Linked DNA regions of Arabidopsis thaliana. The protein of the gene in region 3 interacts with the protein of the main gene of each other region in a pairwise test. Each region holds a gene or a part of one and is shown on either strand. Other genes may lie near its edges.

The links. The genes of interacting proteins can lie anywhere in the genome.
Region 1: the proteins of OFP12 (region 3) and ATCTH interact in a two-hybrid assay, tested with the Arabidopsis thaliana proteins (one large-scale study listed by BioGRID).
Region 2: the proteins of OFP12 (region 3) and COL4 interact in a two-hybrid assay, tested with the Arabidopsis thaliana proteins (one large-scale study listed by BioGRID).

Annotation. Positions count from the first base shown.
Region 1 is NC_003071.7:11,038,941-11,044,685, reverse strand, and holds ATCTH (Zinc finger C-x8-C-x5-C-x3-H type family protein), read right to left. Parts: upstream 3,356-5,745; 5' UTR 3,213-3,355; intron 3,121-3,212; 5' UTR 2,870-3,120; coding exon 1,922-2,869; 3' UTR 1,430-1,921; downstream 1-1,429.
Region 2 is NC_003076.8:8,587,092-8,592,378, forward strand, and holds COL4 (zinc finger CONSTANS-like protein), read left to right. Parts: upstream 1-2,365; coding exon 2,366-3,109; intron 3,110-3,513; coding exon 3,514-3,858; downstream 3,859-5,287. Other genes in the region: AT5G24940 (Protein phosphatase 2C family protein), read right to left, coding at 4,316-4,939, 5,037-5,111, 5,189-5,280.
Region 3 is NC_003070.9:1,586,922-1,592,107, reverse strand, and holds OFP12 (ovate family protein 12), read right to left. Parts: upstream 2,136-5,186; 5' UTR 2,084-2,135; coding exon 1,355-2,083; 3' UTR 1,096-1,354; downstream 1-1,095. Other genes in the region: AT1G05410 (CDPK adapter, putative (DUF1423)), read left to right, coding at 4,840-5,186. UniProt on the Arabidopsis thaliana protein: Transcriptional repressor that regulates multiple aspects of plant growth and development through the regulation of BEL1-LIKE (BLH) and KNOX TALE (KNAT) homeodomain transcription factors.

The sequences.
Region 1 (5,745 bases), on a different chromosome or scaffold from region 3:
AATTCACGTTAAAATTATGATTTTTTAGACCATGTAATAGTTTTTTTTTTAATAAAACTATAAACTAAATATAGAAAGTTAGAAACAAACAACATTGAGATACTGAGATGCATCATCACTAAAATTTTTTTAAAAAGATAATAAATAAATAAATCTGGCATCAGTTTTTTTTTTATAAGTTAGTTTGACTTTTAAACTGACGGTAGAATTATATAGTCATTTTAGAAAGCGATGCTAAATTCAGTGAAACTAAAACAATTTAGCATCACTCTTTTAAATGATGTTATAATTTAAGATAAACATCATTTTTGTTAGTGAGGTTATAAATCCTTTGGTATCATTTTTAATTATTGATGCTAACTATTTTTAGTATTAAATTTGAAAGTTACGTGAAATTTTGATTTTACATTCATATCATTACTCAAAAACGATTCAAATTAAATAATATGTTTTTTAAAAAATTAGCTATTATATAAAAAGCATAATCAATAAATAGGAAAATTAAAATAGAAAAACATCTCATTTCATAAGAGAAGTTCTACCAATACATTATTCAAAATTAATAATTAAAATACAAAAAACATAGCTTTTCTCCTCAAACTAAGTAAGTAATAAGAGTCTCATGCTCTCTATTTGCACGAAGCAAATAGGATTGATTACCATTACTCTCTTTTGTGTACCATATTCTATTTCTTTTTTGTTATTAGTTTTTAAACAAAACTGTTTACTAGTCTATGTTCTGTTATGTTTGTTTGAGTTTTTATGTTAAATTTCATAACTTATTATGTATAAAATTATCGTTTGTTATGTCACTGTATTTTTTAATTTAATACATTATTGTTGTATTTTTAAATTTCAATTAACTGGATAACCATATTAGTATTGATTAAATGCCCAATGTATACCTAAAACATATAGATTTGTTCGTGTATTACTGAAAACATATTTAAATTTGAAAATCATTCTGAAAATGAAAATTTTATCCAAATTATGAGTATTCATTAGTCATTAGTCTATTTTCAGAGTGGATCTAGTCTACCATTGGAAATAGCCAAATAGTTTTTTTTTTTTGTCAAAAGGAATATGTTTACTTAAAAATAGAATTTGTAGGCAGATTTGATGTTCATTAGAGATATGATGCAAGAGAGTTATTTTCTCGAGACTATTTTCTCTGATTAATTGTTGGGCTTGTTCGTTTATTAATCGCTGTGACAGCAATAGGGACTCCGACGAAAAGCAAAAATTATAACGGAGATACAAAAACAGTCGTTCAATATGGACGCCGGCGGCGTCCTTAGTGAAAATGTTAAGTTGCTGTTATTTTTTGGCGACACGTGTATATGCCTTATAGGTCGCTGTTTTTAAAATCGAGCGACTCCTCTTCACATAACTTTCTACAGACTTCAACGTAATTGTGTGTTAAGCAACTGTTTTTTTGGTCGCTGGATATGATCGCAGCGTTTGGAAAAAGAACAGGCCAACAAAAAATATTTATATCCTCTTACTATTATAACAACGAAATCGATAAGAAGGAAACAACAAATGAAATGTTCTTTTCTAAAGTCTCAAACTAAGATGTTATCCAAATACATTTGAGAACTAATTACAAAATGATATAACATTAATAAACAACAAACAAAATAAAGCCGAAAACCAAAATAAAAACAAGAAAATAACGAAAACAATAAAAAAAACTGCAGAGAAAAAAGCCAGAAGAATAGCTCTCAAATTCTCTCATTATCATCTCTTTACAAATTCTTCCTTTTTTTGTTACTCTTAACGCTTTTTTCTTCATCGTCCGATTGTACCGTCACTAAGATCGACCCGCCACGTCATTTATCCACAACACCTTAAAAATCTCTAAAATATTCACAAAATCAGATCGAGTCGCCACGTCATCAAAGACTCGATCCAAGTCGACTCAACCGAGTGAGTTCTCTCTACTGAGTCTTGCATACATCTCCGCTCTCAGCTCTTTCCCAGATTCCACAAATTCCATCGCCGGAGCTTCTTCGATCTCAAACTCTCTTATCCTCGGCCACGTTGCCGCCTGAATCGGACGCAGAGACGACGAAAAAGGTAACCTAACTGCAGATCTCATCGGAGAACTCCACGAACAACCACCTCCGTTCAATTGCATTTTCCTCATCGACGCAATAAGTTCACCGGTACTCGGAGAAAGCGGCGGAGATTCCGACGGTGGTGAAAACGAAGGAGAAACAAGAATCGAAGTCGGAGAAGTAGCTAATCCTGAGAAGAATCCAAGATCTGGATCTAACGAACAAGGTAATACACGTAACTGCTCCGTCGTATGAGCGAAGAAACAGATTCTTCTCCGGCAGCTAGTTCCGTCTTTACACGGCTGAGTACGGTAACGAGAAGGATGGAGCCAACACTCGAAAACTCCATGAGAGAACTCACACGAATCACCTCTTCTACAACTTCCTTTACGAAACTCAGGACAAGCGGTGCCGGAGTAATGAAACTTTCTCGGATCACGTCGTCGAGCTTTTTCTCCGGGATGTGCGAACGGACACTCCGTCCAATCATGAGATCGACCTCGAGCGCATCGCCGGATTTTGAACTCGTAGATGCGAAACTCGTCGGAGGAGAATGAGTCGGTGAGTGGTGATGACTCGTCGCCACTTGATGAGTCTGAATCGTTTGTTAACTCGTTTGACGGGAGGTAACGGAAGAGAGAAGCGAAGGAGTCGAGATACGGTGACGGAGAGTGTGGGTAGTCGTTAACGCTGTTAAGGTTGACGGAAGAGAATGGTGAAGAGATTGTGGCCGTTGGATCGTTGATTTGATCCCATTGAGGGATATGGATCGTTGGATGTGGCCGGTTTTTATTTTCGCCGATCATCATTTTTGTTTAGTGAGTCTAGAAGAGAGAGAGGTGTGTGTCTGTGATATAAACTGCTTTATTTTAACCATGGTTGGGTCAAATATTAACTACGGTAAAGTTATGAAAATCTTGACCCTATCCACAATACCGTACGGTAAACAATTAATAAGCGCAAATCTGCAGATGATGACACGTGTAAGAAAAAATCTCCAATTTTTGTTCGTCTTTTGTTTTTTTCCCCTTCATGTTCGTCTTTTTTTTTTTTTTTTTTTCTTCATATTTGTCCCCCCAAAAAAAAAAAAAATGTTTTCAAAGCTTTAAAAATATTTAAAAATTTTCAAATTTATTTTTTAATCAATCACACTTTTAAAACTTTATTAATTTTTAAAGTTTTAAAAGCTTTTTTCTCTCCATTTACTTTTTTTCTTTTGTTTTTTTCCTAAAGTCTTTAACTTTAAAAGAGAATAATAAAACAAAATAAAAATATTTTTTCTTTATCCATAAAATTTCAAAACTCTTTTCAAATTTATTTATATTTTATCATTAAAAAATCGATTGATTAATTCGAATTTTATTTTTTCTGTTCTTTTCAGATCCAATTTAAATATTTAAAATAGTGAATTTGTAAAATGAATTTTGTATTTTTTTAAAATAAATTTATTTTAGTTACTATTTTACCAAATAAATTGATTTTTTAGCATAAATAATATTTATAAAAAATATTAAATAATAATAAAAATAATTGTGATTTTTTTGTACCAATCAGACTTTAACAGTTAAAGTTTCTATCGTCAAAATTTTTACAACCAAAATTTTTACAGTCAAAGTCGTAACATCCGAAATATTTAGAGTTCAAAAGTAACAGCCGTTACCAATCAGCCCCAACATCTACTTTATTACGCTTTCCGTTTTAAATTAATTGTCAGAACATTAAAAAAATAATTAGAATAAATATCAATTTACATTTTTAAAAGCTAATTTTGACTACAAACAAAATTAAAGTTTTATTTGCAGTGATTTATGTTTTAACCAATAAGAAATTTTGTAAAGTAAAAAATAAAACAAATTATTAATATGTGTGTCAAAACCTAAAACAACATTTTTGGAGTATCACTAACCAAAAGTTATATAGTCACATAAAACATAGGGATACATTAATTGAAGAAATTAAGATACACATTAAAAATTGAAAAAAAAAAAATTTCTATCATAACTCAAAGTTTATCACCAAAAATTGTGTTAATTATTCCGTAGCTGTTATTTGTTTATAAAGATTTAGATCATTTTGACCAGACTGTAACTATTAGATCATTTTGAAGAATCGTAGAATCATACTATTTTATTTGCAATTATATGAATTAGTCCACACTAATATTAAGGGTCTAGCGATATGAAACATAAGACATTACAGTAAGAAAATATTTGGACGGTACAGTATATATTACTTGTCACGTGACTTTCAAGGTCGTAGACTACTCCCCATGACCTGACAAGAGTGAATAAATTTGGTTATTGTCCCCCATTTTTTCTAGATCATGGAAGGATGCAACGTACGTAGCTTTTATGAAATAAATTTCGAACATTAATTTTAACTTTTGGCTCTCCAGCTGATGGGAGTAAATTGACATGCTCCAAAGAAAGAAACACAAGTCACCTAGTGATTTTCAAGAAAATGTGCTTCCTTCAAAATATCCGAGGTCTAAGATGAAATAGTTTTAAAAATTGTTATGCGGGGCATATATTATTAGAGTGTTGTGCACTTGTAACCTTCCAGAAAATAAGCAATTTGGACGATATTTTAAGGTTTGGTCCATGTTCCAGTATCGTGTTAGGGTCCACTGCTTCGAGATCTACTTGATTGATACTCTTCCATTTGTTTTCTAATTGTTTGATGCAAAGGTTATCCATTAAGGGAAACTTATCTATATCACGTGGAATACTCACTGCAAAAGATTCGCAATATTAGACTTATAATTGTCACTAATCAGACCATTAAACAAATATCAAATTGATTAATATGTTGAATTTAATAATCCAATTTGACCTCTTTCAGATAGGGCTTTGGGGACAAATCTTCTTAAATCGCACCAAACTTTTATTATAAGATAATTTTTGGTTCGTGGCTATTAAATTAAGCCTGAAAATTTAAACATATGTTTCACTTACAAGCGTCAAGTATGGATAAACAATGATTAATCATAAGCTATCATAATGACAAAAAGAAGTATGATCGTTATCAGTTCTCTTATGCATAAACTATTGATAAAATTATAATAGTCACGAGATGATTGATCGAGCACGATAACTATTATAATAGTCACGAGAGAATGATGTGAAAGTTTAAGAATGCGTCTAAACCAACAATAAAATAATTTAAATAGTTATAATTGAATACACATTCTATATTAGTAAACATTCAAATTATTTAAAATATCTACGAGACACAATAGCCTCCCAACAACCATTCGTACATTCACTTTCTCATTAGAAAGAAAACGTATCCTAATTTGTTGTTTTCTCTATGAATGTTAATATCATCTAATAAGTCCATATAGACTATATCTAATAAATCCATATAGACTATTGTCTCTGAATATCAATGGATTTGAATCTTTGGCCAAAAAATTAAACAAAGAGACAAATGATGTAGAAGTCACATTACATAGTGGGAGTTAAAATTAACCAGAGTTTGCATTAGGTTGCAATAACGCTTGCATTTACGTCTTGCGGTGCTTACGTTCTGAATCTCTTTGTCGATGAGCTTGAAGATAGTTGATATTGGGATCGAGACTTGGTTGTGAACCACATCATTCCTTTGCTTCCACATATATCCTAACATTTATCTAAACAATCTGGTGCTAGAAGAAAGAGATTATCAAACTGATGCAATGACAAAC
Region 2 (5,287 bases), on a different chromosome or scaffold from region 3:
TCTAAACGAAAAAACCCACTCCTTTCATTTGTTTCTTTAAATTTCTGCAATGTTTAATTTTTATTAAAACTTATGTTCGTTTCTTTCAAGTCATCTAGTTTAAGAATAGTACAAGAGCACAGTACGAGTGTACGACACGATCAATTTATGTTTTTTCACTTTATAGTTTTGCTCGTAACTCATATTTATTGATGATGACTCGACTCCCATGGTTTTTGCCGCCGGCATGCTTTTATGGGTTGGGAAAAAATAAGTAATTTGAGAAAGATGATGTCATAATATGGACATGTGTCCGTTCACAGATTGGCTTCAAAGAGTTTCAATATGTTTGACTTTGGAACAGTTGTATGAATTTGCTCTATTTGCTGCAACTACCTGACGCGGCGATGCGACTCTGCCTACATCATAACTCATAATTAATGCAACGCTCATTTGAATCAAACTTTCACAAATCAATACGGTTACACATTTTTCATGATGTATGATTCTGACACTTTCAATATTGTTTTTTTTTCTTTTTCTAATTAAGAGTTTTGATAATCACTCCTAATTTTTATTTTCATTTTAATTATTTAAGTTTCAATTATTATCATGCTTATATATTTCTATTTTTTTTTAATTTAATAATGTCAAATCAAATTTACTTTTGAAGTTTTAAATTTTATTAGTTGGTCAGACACAACACAACATAAAATTTATTTTGAGAAAACCAAGAGTACAAGATGTAATGTTTAAAATCGTGGTAGAAGTTTGATTTATGGAGAAAAGAAAAAGAGTTTTCATAAGAAAGTGAAATTTTTCATTTTATTTCATTATCAAAGCCTAAAATAAATGACGATTCTCTTCACTTTCTCATAAATACTCTTTTTTTCTTTTTTCTTTTTGCAGAAATCAGTCCACCGCGATTTTCAAAATCTTCATCTTGTACTCTCAATTCTTTTATTGCCTGTTGTGTTCTGTCTAGTTCTGATTTATGCTTAACTAATAAAATTTCCAAAAAAATTGATTTGACACAATTAAATCAGAATAATAGAGAAATGAGAAGCATGATAAATGAATCTTAGATAATTCAAAATAAATAAAAAAAAAATAAATAAATAATCTAAAATACTAAAATTACAACAAATTATTAGTAAAAAAAGAAGCATATATTGGTTTTACATATATATATATTTTATACATGTCAAAATCTGATCAATAGATATAATATGCGAGTTACTAATTTTGAAATAAGTCTTTATTTATATTGTAATAAGGATAGTAAAAATTTATAAGGTCTTATCCTGGAGTTATGTGTGGAATAGTTACGGTGCAGTTAACCATGAAATTTTGAAGAGGTATTTTTGATGACTATCTAGAGGGCGTTGATTTCTTTGTTGATAAAAAAAGAAATAAGTTTATGTGAAACCAGTGAGTTTGTGTTGTGACTTTTAGCAAATTGAGAAATAAAGTTATTGGGCTGAAATAAGCATTTTAGTGAACAACAAAACACATACATGCAGAATATATCAGTAATAACTAGAAACCAATGGTCCACATAAGGCCCATATTCAGCCCACTAGTGACCGACCTACCCACCGGCCATTTACTTTATCCTCGCTAGTCACAGTATCGTTTCCATTTAAGTTTGCTCCTCATGGTGGTGGTCCTAAAACTCATCTACCCATACTTCTTCACCACTTTTTTCATTTTATTTTGCAATAGAACCACTCTCTGTGTCAGCTTATGGATTTGAATGGTTACGACGGTTGGGGCGAACAAAACCGTCAATGGATCAGATCGTTTTTTGTTTTATCATTCATCAAAAATAGTCCGCAGTGGTCCGGACCAAAAAAAATAGAAGAAAACCGCTGCGGACCATCTGCAGACCGTTTTTACATACAAATAAACTTGGTTTACAGCGATTTATAGTCCGCCCCAAAAATGAGATGGAGTAAACCGCAGACAAATTAGACCGCTTTGTCCGCTGCCTCCATTCATAACCTATAAATCATATAAAAAAGTTCGTAGACAAATTTGCTACGCATCATTTGCTAAAATAAAACACCTGTTGCCAAATGTCGACGATCCAGAATTATGATTACAAGTATCATCATCATACGATTACAATTATATAAAGAAATAAAGAACACACAGAACTATAATGCCAAGTAATTTCATCAGAAATAAAATTACGTTGTTTGGCTAAGATTTTACCACGTGTCAACTTTTCATTCGATCTAGATGGATACCCATGGACCCCACATGGATAGACTCATTGACACGCTCATGTGAAGCCAATAGTAACACCAACCACAAAAGAAAGAGAGAGAGAGAGACACTGAAACATAGAGAGAAGAAAAAGAAGAGGTTTAGAGAGAGAAAAATGGCGTCAAAGCTCTGCGATTCGTGCAAATCAGCGACGGCGGCGTTATACTGCCGACCAGACGCAGCGTTTCTATGCTTAAGCTGCGATTCAAAAGTCCACGCGGCGAACAAACTCGCGTCACGACACGCGCGCGTGTGGATGTGTGAAGTGTGCGAGCAAGCACCGGCACACGTCACGTGCAAAGCAGACGCGGCCGCGTTATGCGTCACGTGCGACCGTGATATCCACTCGGCTAATCCGTTAGCTCGCCGTCACGAACGCGTTCCCGTTACTCCGTTTTACGATTCCGTCTCTAGTGACGGTTCCGTTAAACACACCGCCGTTAATTTCCTTGACGACTGTTACTTCTCCGATATAGATGGTAACGGAAGCCGTGAAGAAGAGGAGGAAGAAGCTGCTTCGTGGCTGTTACTTCCCAATCCAAAGACTACAACGACGGCGACGGCGGGGATCGTTGCTGTTACTTCAGCTGAGGAAGTTCCGGGAGATAGTCCGGAGATGAACACTGGTCAACAGTATTTGTTCTCGGATCCGGATCCGTATCTGGATCTGGATTATGGAAATGTTGATCCGAAGGTGGAATCGTTAGAGCAGAATAGCTCCGGTACTGATGGTGTTGTTCCGGTGGAGAATCGGACGGTTAGGATTCCGACGGTGAACGAGAATTGCTTTGAAATGGATTTTACCGGAGGATCTAAAGGCTTTACTTATGGTGGTGGTTACAATTGCATCAGTCACAGCGTAAGCTTAATGTTCTTTAATCACAGTGATTAATTTAATTGATTATGTTTGATTAACAATTATTTATCAATTTTTAACGAAAAAGTTTAGATCTTTAGGGTTTAGACTTTTGATGATACTTAAAATTATTAATTTATTGGGAAGTAATGATTGGCTGACTAAAATTTAGGGTTATGCGAGCAACATGTGTAAATTAATCTGTAATTAGAAGAAATATTATGATAATCCTTAATTTAAGTATCTAATTATGTATTAATCAAAGAATTTTGGTGTCTTCTTTTTCATTTGTTTTGTTTAATCTAGTGTAGATCTAATCATATTCACTTATAAGTTATAACCTATAGTATTTGTCAGTTTGATTGTACTTATTATAATGGCTTGATCCAATGGTTGGTGTAATTTAGGTGTCATCATCGTCGATGGAAGTGGGAGTGGTGCCAGATGGTGGTTCGGTGGCTGATGTATCGTATCCTTACGGTGGTCCTGCAACCAGTGGAGCTGATCCGGGGACACAGCGGGCTGTTCCGCTGACTTCAGCTGAGAGAGAAGCGAGGGTAATGAGGTACAGAGAGAAGAGGAAGAACAGGAAGTTTGAGAAGACTATAAGGTATGCTTCAAGGAAAGCGTATGCGGAAATGAGACCGAGAATCAAGGGACGGTTTGCGAAGCGGACGGATACAAATGAGAGCAATGATGTGGTTGGTCATGGTGGTATCTTTAGTGGGTTCGGACTTGTACCTACATTTTAGATATTGAGAGAGGGAGAGACTCTAAAATGGAAGATGGTGGGTGGTTTGGTGTTTGTTTTAGTAATAAGGTTTTTAACGAACGTTTAATTTAAACGAGTTTGTTTGTTTTTTGTTGATGAGTATTTTTAGTTGTTGTGGGCGATGAAGAGGAAGAGAAGTGAGTGGGTGGTGTTTAACTGTTTATAAGTAACTTGTTTTGTATATATCGTGATTTTGAATATGTTCTTGTTTATGTTATGTACTCAAACTATTTAGAATCAACAAGTTTACAAAATTTGGTACACTGCAAAAAGAAATTACATTGTTGAAGTTAAAGACCTCAGAAAAAAGGGTGACAAAGAGAAGAAACTTACATGAACGAGATAAATCAGTTTCGAGGCAAAATCTTTGGACACTAAATAGTTCAAAGTTAAATGAAGATGATACATTCATTTATCAAAAGAAGGTAGTGGACGTTTTAGTTAAAGATAGAGGGAGTTGTCTTTCTTGCGGCGGAATCACTATGAACTTTGATTGGTTTTCGATTCCTTTCACCCGTTGATCCGCTCTGTTCTGTTGCGGCCGGCTTCTTCGCAGTGCTACTGTCCAAGTCGTTGTGTACTGTGCTTTGCGTTTGATTAGGTACCTTGGCTGAACTCTTAGGCTCTGAGTCGCTGCGAATTTTGATTGGCATTTGACTCTTTTCCCCGGTTAAACCACTCTGTTCTGAAGAAACGCTGTGTCCTGTTGCTGTAGTCGCGATTGGTTTTTGGTTCGAGTTATCGGCACTTCTAGCTGCAATCGGCTTTTGGTTCAGGCTTTGACTGTCAGTGTTGCGGTCCAAGTCCTTGTTTACTGTGGTATGGTCTTGATTGGTTTCTTTGGCTGAGATCTTGTGGTCTGAGTCATTTCTAACAGCGGTTGGCACTTGATTTGCTTCCTCGGATGAGCTGGAACCGTTGTTGTTAGCTGACTTGCTCTCCAAGAAACGTACAACTACACATGTAATATTGTCTGCACTTCCTCTTTTAATTGCTTCTCCCACAAGTTTCTTGGTGGACTCTTCCGGATCTTCAACTTCTTTTACTACTGCAACTGCTTCCTGAAAGACCATCAGAGAGATCTCAATCATTGAGTTTGATGTGATACTTATCGGAACATGAAAGTAGTTTTTCGAAGAAGAACTTAATTTTACAAACCTCATTGGAGAAAACATCCCATAGTCCATCGCTGGCAAGAATCAGAAACTCAAGAGAATCATCAATCTTCTCTTCCTGAAGTTGAAGACATGACCTTAAGTGAACACAAGTAGATGTTGTGTGTGGTTTACAAAGCAAATGAAGATACAAACCTGAATTTCTGGATCAGCAACAACATATTGTTTAAGCAATCGATCACCAAACGCGCGGGAAACTGCAAGAACTCCTCCAACTCTCCAAGTCCCTGTTCA
Region 3 (5,186 bases):
ATGCTGCTGCCATGGTGAGTGAAGAAGCAATCAAAGGCCTGTTTTAATATCTATCTGAAAACCTTGAGATTTCTAATCTCTAGTGTAGTAAATGATTAACTGTCTCAGTCCCTATTTCATACACTATTTATTGTTGTTGGTCGTGTCCTGCGAATATGAATCAGGGATGTGAGCAAAATGTTATATATAATATTAATGATGAAAATAGCTTTGTTATAATATTGGTTGAGGCTTCGGCCAACATCCGTCTCTTAGGATTCTCCTATTTTGTTTTTGTCTCACCTTGTGTTATGTGAAATATCTCATGGAAAGAATCACCTACAACAATAGATCTCAACATTAGCTAAATTTGAATACCTATTGTTAATATATTTAGTCTATCATGCACCATTCCCTAACTTGGCAATATTTTAATGCGCTTCTTGCGTTTTAGATAACTAATACGCTATATGAATCTTGGCCAAATAGCATAAACCCCAACGTATAAAAGAAATCATGGCATTGGCTAAAATATCTGAATAAAACTATATAAATCGATGTAAATTTTATCATATACAGTTTTTCGATTAAATAATTTGTTTTGATATGGATGTAAAGTGAGAACATCAAGAAAAGCAGAAGAAAGTCAATCTTCGATATACATGTCAAACATAATTTGAGACGTTACGAAAGAAGAAGAAATAGTACCAATTGTCAGTCGACGTAGCTTTTTCATTGTTTGTCATGGCACTAATCCGAGCGTTTTCTTGGTAGTTTCTCCAAAAGACAAACTTTTAACAATCATACATCATACCAATTAGACAATTATTATTTTGTTGGTAATTAATCAGCAAAATTGTAATGTTGTTAGTTATCACAATTCAGCTTTTACCCATTACAAATTTTCTTCAACTCATAAGTTTCGTTCGTGTATTTAATGATTTAAACCAAAATAAATTTTCACTTTTAAGTTTATAATGAAGCCATGGGTTTCCGTCTCTTAATATATACTTCTAGAGATGCATTTCGGAAAGTATAAATTAAGTCTATTTTTTATCATCAATATGTTAAATTGAACTATAACTTCCCAATCAATGATTTAAGTTTCACCATATATACTCCAGAACATTTAATTTATTTAATTTAAAAGGGTAAAAAGACAAAAATAGAAACAAATTAAAAGAAGAATCTAACTGCATGCGATCGAGACAAAAACCCACGCCTCTCTCGACTTTCTCAATCGTATCATTACAAAATAATTACATTAACTTTAGTTCTGATTATTTGTCCTAAGTAACGCATTACAAAAATAAATAACATGTGTTACTTTTTACATAACATGAAGAGAGAATAAATATATATATGCCACGTCAGCTCAGCTGATCCGGTGACCGTCCGATAGGAGAGAGACGAGAATGTCGGCGAAAGCTCTGATAATGAACTTGTGTGTATCGGCGGCATTTAAAGAGAGGTAACTGAGTAACAGCTCATGCAAGAACTCGTAACGGCGAAGATCTCCGGCGTTTGTAACGGCGTCGATCATCTCCTGCATTGATCGTCGGAAGTCGTTGTACGGATCAGGAGATTGCACGTAGTGTTTCACGGCGGTTCCTCCGGTAAGAAGCCTAGTGGCAGTATCGTAATTATCCCGGCAGCGGAGATCTGGCGAGTCAGTGATTGAGTTTGAGCAGCCAGGAGAAGAGAAGAAGAAGCGGCGGGAGGCTAAAACGGCGGTTAAGTCAGGAGGGGGAGAGTCGTCGTCAGGGGCAAAACCGTAATTATCGGAATCATCATAAGAGGCAGAGGAGGAAGAAGAGTTAGCTGCGGTGGAGGTGGAGGCGGTGAAGGTGGAAGAGGGTTCAACGTCGTGGATAAGAGGCTTGGATAGGCGGCGGTGGGCGGCGGAGGAGTCGTCATATAGGAGGTTAAAGTTGTTGATGAGAAGAATGGATGGACGGTTGGGATCGTCGGAGGTGGCACCGGACGGAGATGAAGAGGGCTTGGTGAGATTTGATGGGAAGCAAAGATGGAAGTTTTTCCACATGACTCTTGGCATTGTTTTTGTTTTTGTGAGAAAGAGAGTGAGAGAATATGTATTGAGCATGTGGATTTAGCTAGGTTGTCTTAATTTGTTTTGATACTATTATTGTATCATGCTTGTATTTATATGTACAAATATTTATATTATATACGTACCACCATGTATTTGTATAATGTATTATATTTACACAATGCATCGTGCTTTGCTGTGAATCTTAAGACCAAAATAATTTTAATTCTTATTTTTACTTATTTTGTTTGTATAATATACAGATCTACAAAAGTATCTTATTATTAACGGTCATCTTAGTTTTTTGTCTGTTCGTTTGAAGGTTTTAAGTTATACCAACTTTCAGTAATTCATACACTTTTTTTTTTATAGATTTGTTTTCTTGAAAATGGTTATATATCACTTAAAACTAAATTTTTAACATATTTGATATAAAATTCATATTTATTGTTGACAATGAAAATTTCTATTTTATTATTAATATACAATCTTGATAAAATAAATTAAAATATTAATATCTTAAATGTGAATTAGAAATTTCAATTAATTAAATACAATAAGAGGGTAATTTACGAGTTTTTGTCGTATATAGTATAAGGTAAAATGACTCAAAAAGCAAATCTTGATGGTAATCGAAACTTTAAACATGAAAAAGCGCCTACGCGTAAAGTATTTGTTTTTTTTCTTAGATTTGATAGAAGGGAAATAAGGTTATATACGGACATGCAAATATTTATATGTTTTCTCCATTATCAACATATACAAATTATATGAGTAAACTTCAACAATATAATCCAAAATTGTACTGTTTATCTTTATATTTTCACGCTTTTTTTTTCTTAATGTCATAGGCAAAAATTCTGCGGGGAGAGCAAAACCTTTATTGTTTAGTAAATAATTTTCTTCAATTCATTTACGAACTCTAGACATAATAAATAAATTAACGCCAAATAAGAGGAATTATTGTCCTTGCAAATATATACAGCAAGAACTCACGAGGAGGCAATGTTTGGACTAACCTAAACTGGCCATCTCATGACTCAAAGACGAAAGATCGATGTTTGTGCAAAGTACACTGACTCACTTCACTTCTCATTGATCAATCTTAACTAATATTTGTTCTCTTCCCTTTTTCAGTTTATCTTAGACCATTGTTTCTCCTAGCAACAAATTCACCGAATGATCATGTCGCGATTAGTTTTGGGATAAAATCATAAAATTGCTTCTCATCAAGAATTGCTCCGCAAAATCAATGTTCAAGCAGATTACTAGACCAAAATTTATGATCGAGTAGTCCGAATATAATCTTTTGCATTTAAAGCCTCTAAAATTTACAAATATCTAACCAATGTTACAACATGGCATGTACCTAGTACAAGCTACTAGGTTACAACTTCAGAGCGAAGAATTAAAAAATGAGAATCCTATATTAATGAATATTCTCGCTTGAGAAATCTATGCATGACAACTTTCTATCATCAACAATAATAATTAGATTTGATCAATCTCTGTCGACGAGAACCCGCCAAAAGTGGTGACTGAGAGACATGTCACACAACATCGCCCTATTTATACGTAGAAATATCGATCTATATATATATATATACTAGATCGACAATAATATGGTAAGTTTTTTTATTTTAAATATGGTAAGTAATAAATGCTTGTAATACGAAAGGCCTTTATGCTCTACTCATTGTTTGGTGTATAAAAAAAAAATGGAATCAAGGTGTCAGATATGATGGTACAGCAATTTTTAGCCCCACACGTTGTCATTTTTCTTTGGAAGGTACATTGAGATCAATTTCTATTTTTGTATTATTTTGAAATCATCATATAGTTTCATTGGATTTATCACAAGAGGAATCTTATAAAAATGCGAATGGGTATATCTATCTCTCTTTCAATATCTATGTCACACAAGTGTTGTTGCTATATTGTAGGGACATGTCAAAACTTGTCGACAAAAGCTCCATGAATGGGAAACATTGACATCAAGATACAAAATCACATGATTCTTCAACTTGTGAAAGTTTTCGAGTGTGAACATCAGACTCACATAAAACTCCATTGTAGATATCTCTTGTCATAAGACACTGTCACATTCAATATCGTTTTCAAACTCTCCAAAATACTGCCTGATTGCAATGTTACAATTTTGTCATGGACCCACCAATCCCTGTGAACCAAGCCGGTTACTGTTTATTACTCCGACCCGACCCGGGCTTTTTAAAGATAGGCCCAAGAAGGCCCAATGATTGAAATGTGAAATGTTTGATACATTGATGTTTTTGATCTTCGCTCAAACCCTACAATAAAACTTTGGTTCCTCCGAATTTCGAGTTCTTGTTCTTCCCAAGGCCCCTACTTCGGCCCTAGCATCAACCATTGTCGTTTTAAAGCTCCAGGTTTTCATGGCCAAGAAAGAAGTAACTATCGTTGAGATCTTCTGAAATTAATCAGTCTTGAAGTCTCTGGAGATTGTACGTTTCTCTTCTTCCTTTCCTCGTCGGTTTTAATGGATTCCGTTTGCCTGATTTGCAGTTTCTGCTTCACCGTGAAATCGAAACTCGTTTTGCTCTTAAACAAATATTATGCATGCGTTTCAATTTGGGTCTTTTTCTTGACAATATTGGTTCTGTTTGGATTAAGAAATTGAAAATTAGTTTTGTAGCTGAGCCTTTTCTCTTGTGTGTATAGGAACTGAGCTATATCAGTAGTGTATCTAGCATATTTGATTAATGTTCCTTCATGTTGTTCTTATTGAAGCTGCTTCCATTGGTTTTGTGATTGAGTGCAGGTCTTATAACATGGACTCCATGGATATTGATCAAAGTAACATAGGTGAATCGCCTCACCTTCTGCTGAGACCAGTAAGTCCATTGGAATCTGGTGAAGGTTTACCTTATGCTCCTGAGAATTGGCCTAATCCTGGAGATACTTGGCATTGGAAGGTTGGACCGAGAATTAGCGGTAAAGGCTACTTCGTGGATAGATACTTATATCCTCCTAAGTATCTTCCCGGTTTAGATACTGAAATATTGCGGAAAAATAAGGTGTTTAGGAGCAGGCTCTCGCTCCAACGATATATTCGTGTACACTTCCCTGAAGCGGATGTTCAAAAGTTCTTTGCTTCTTTCAGCTGGAGCATACCCTG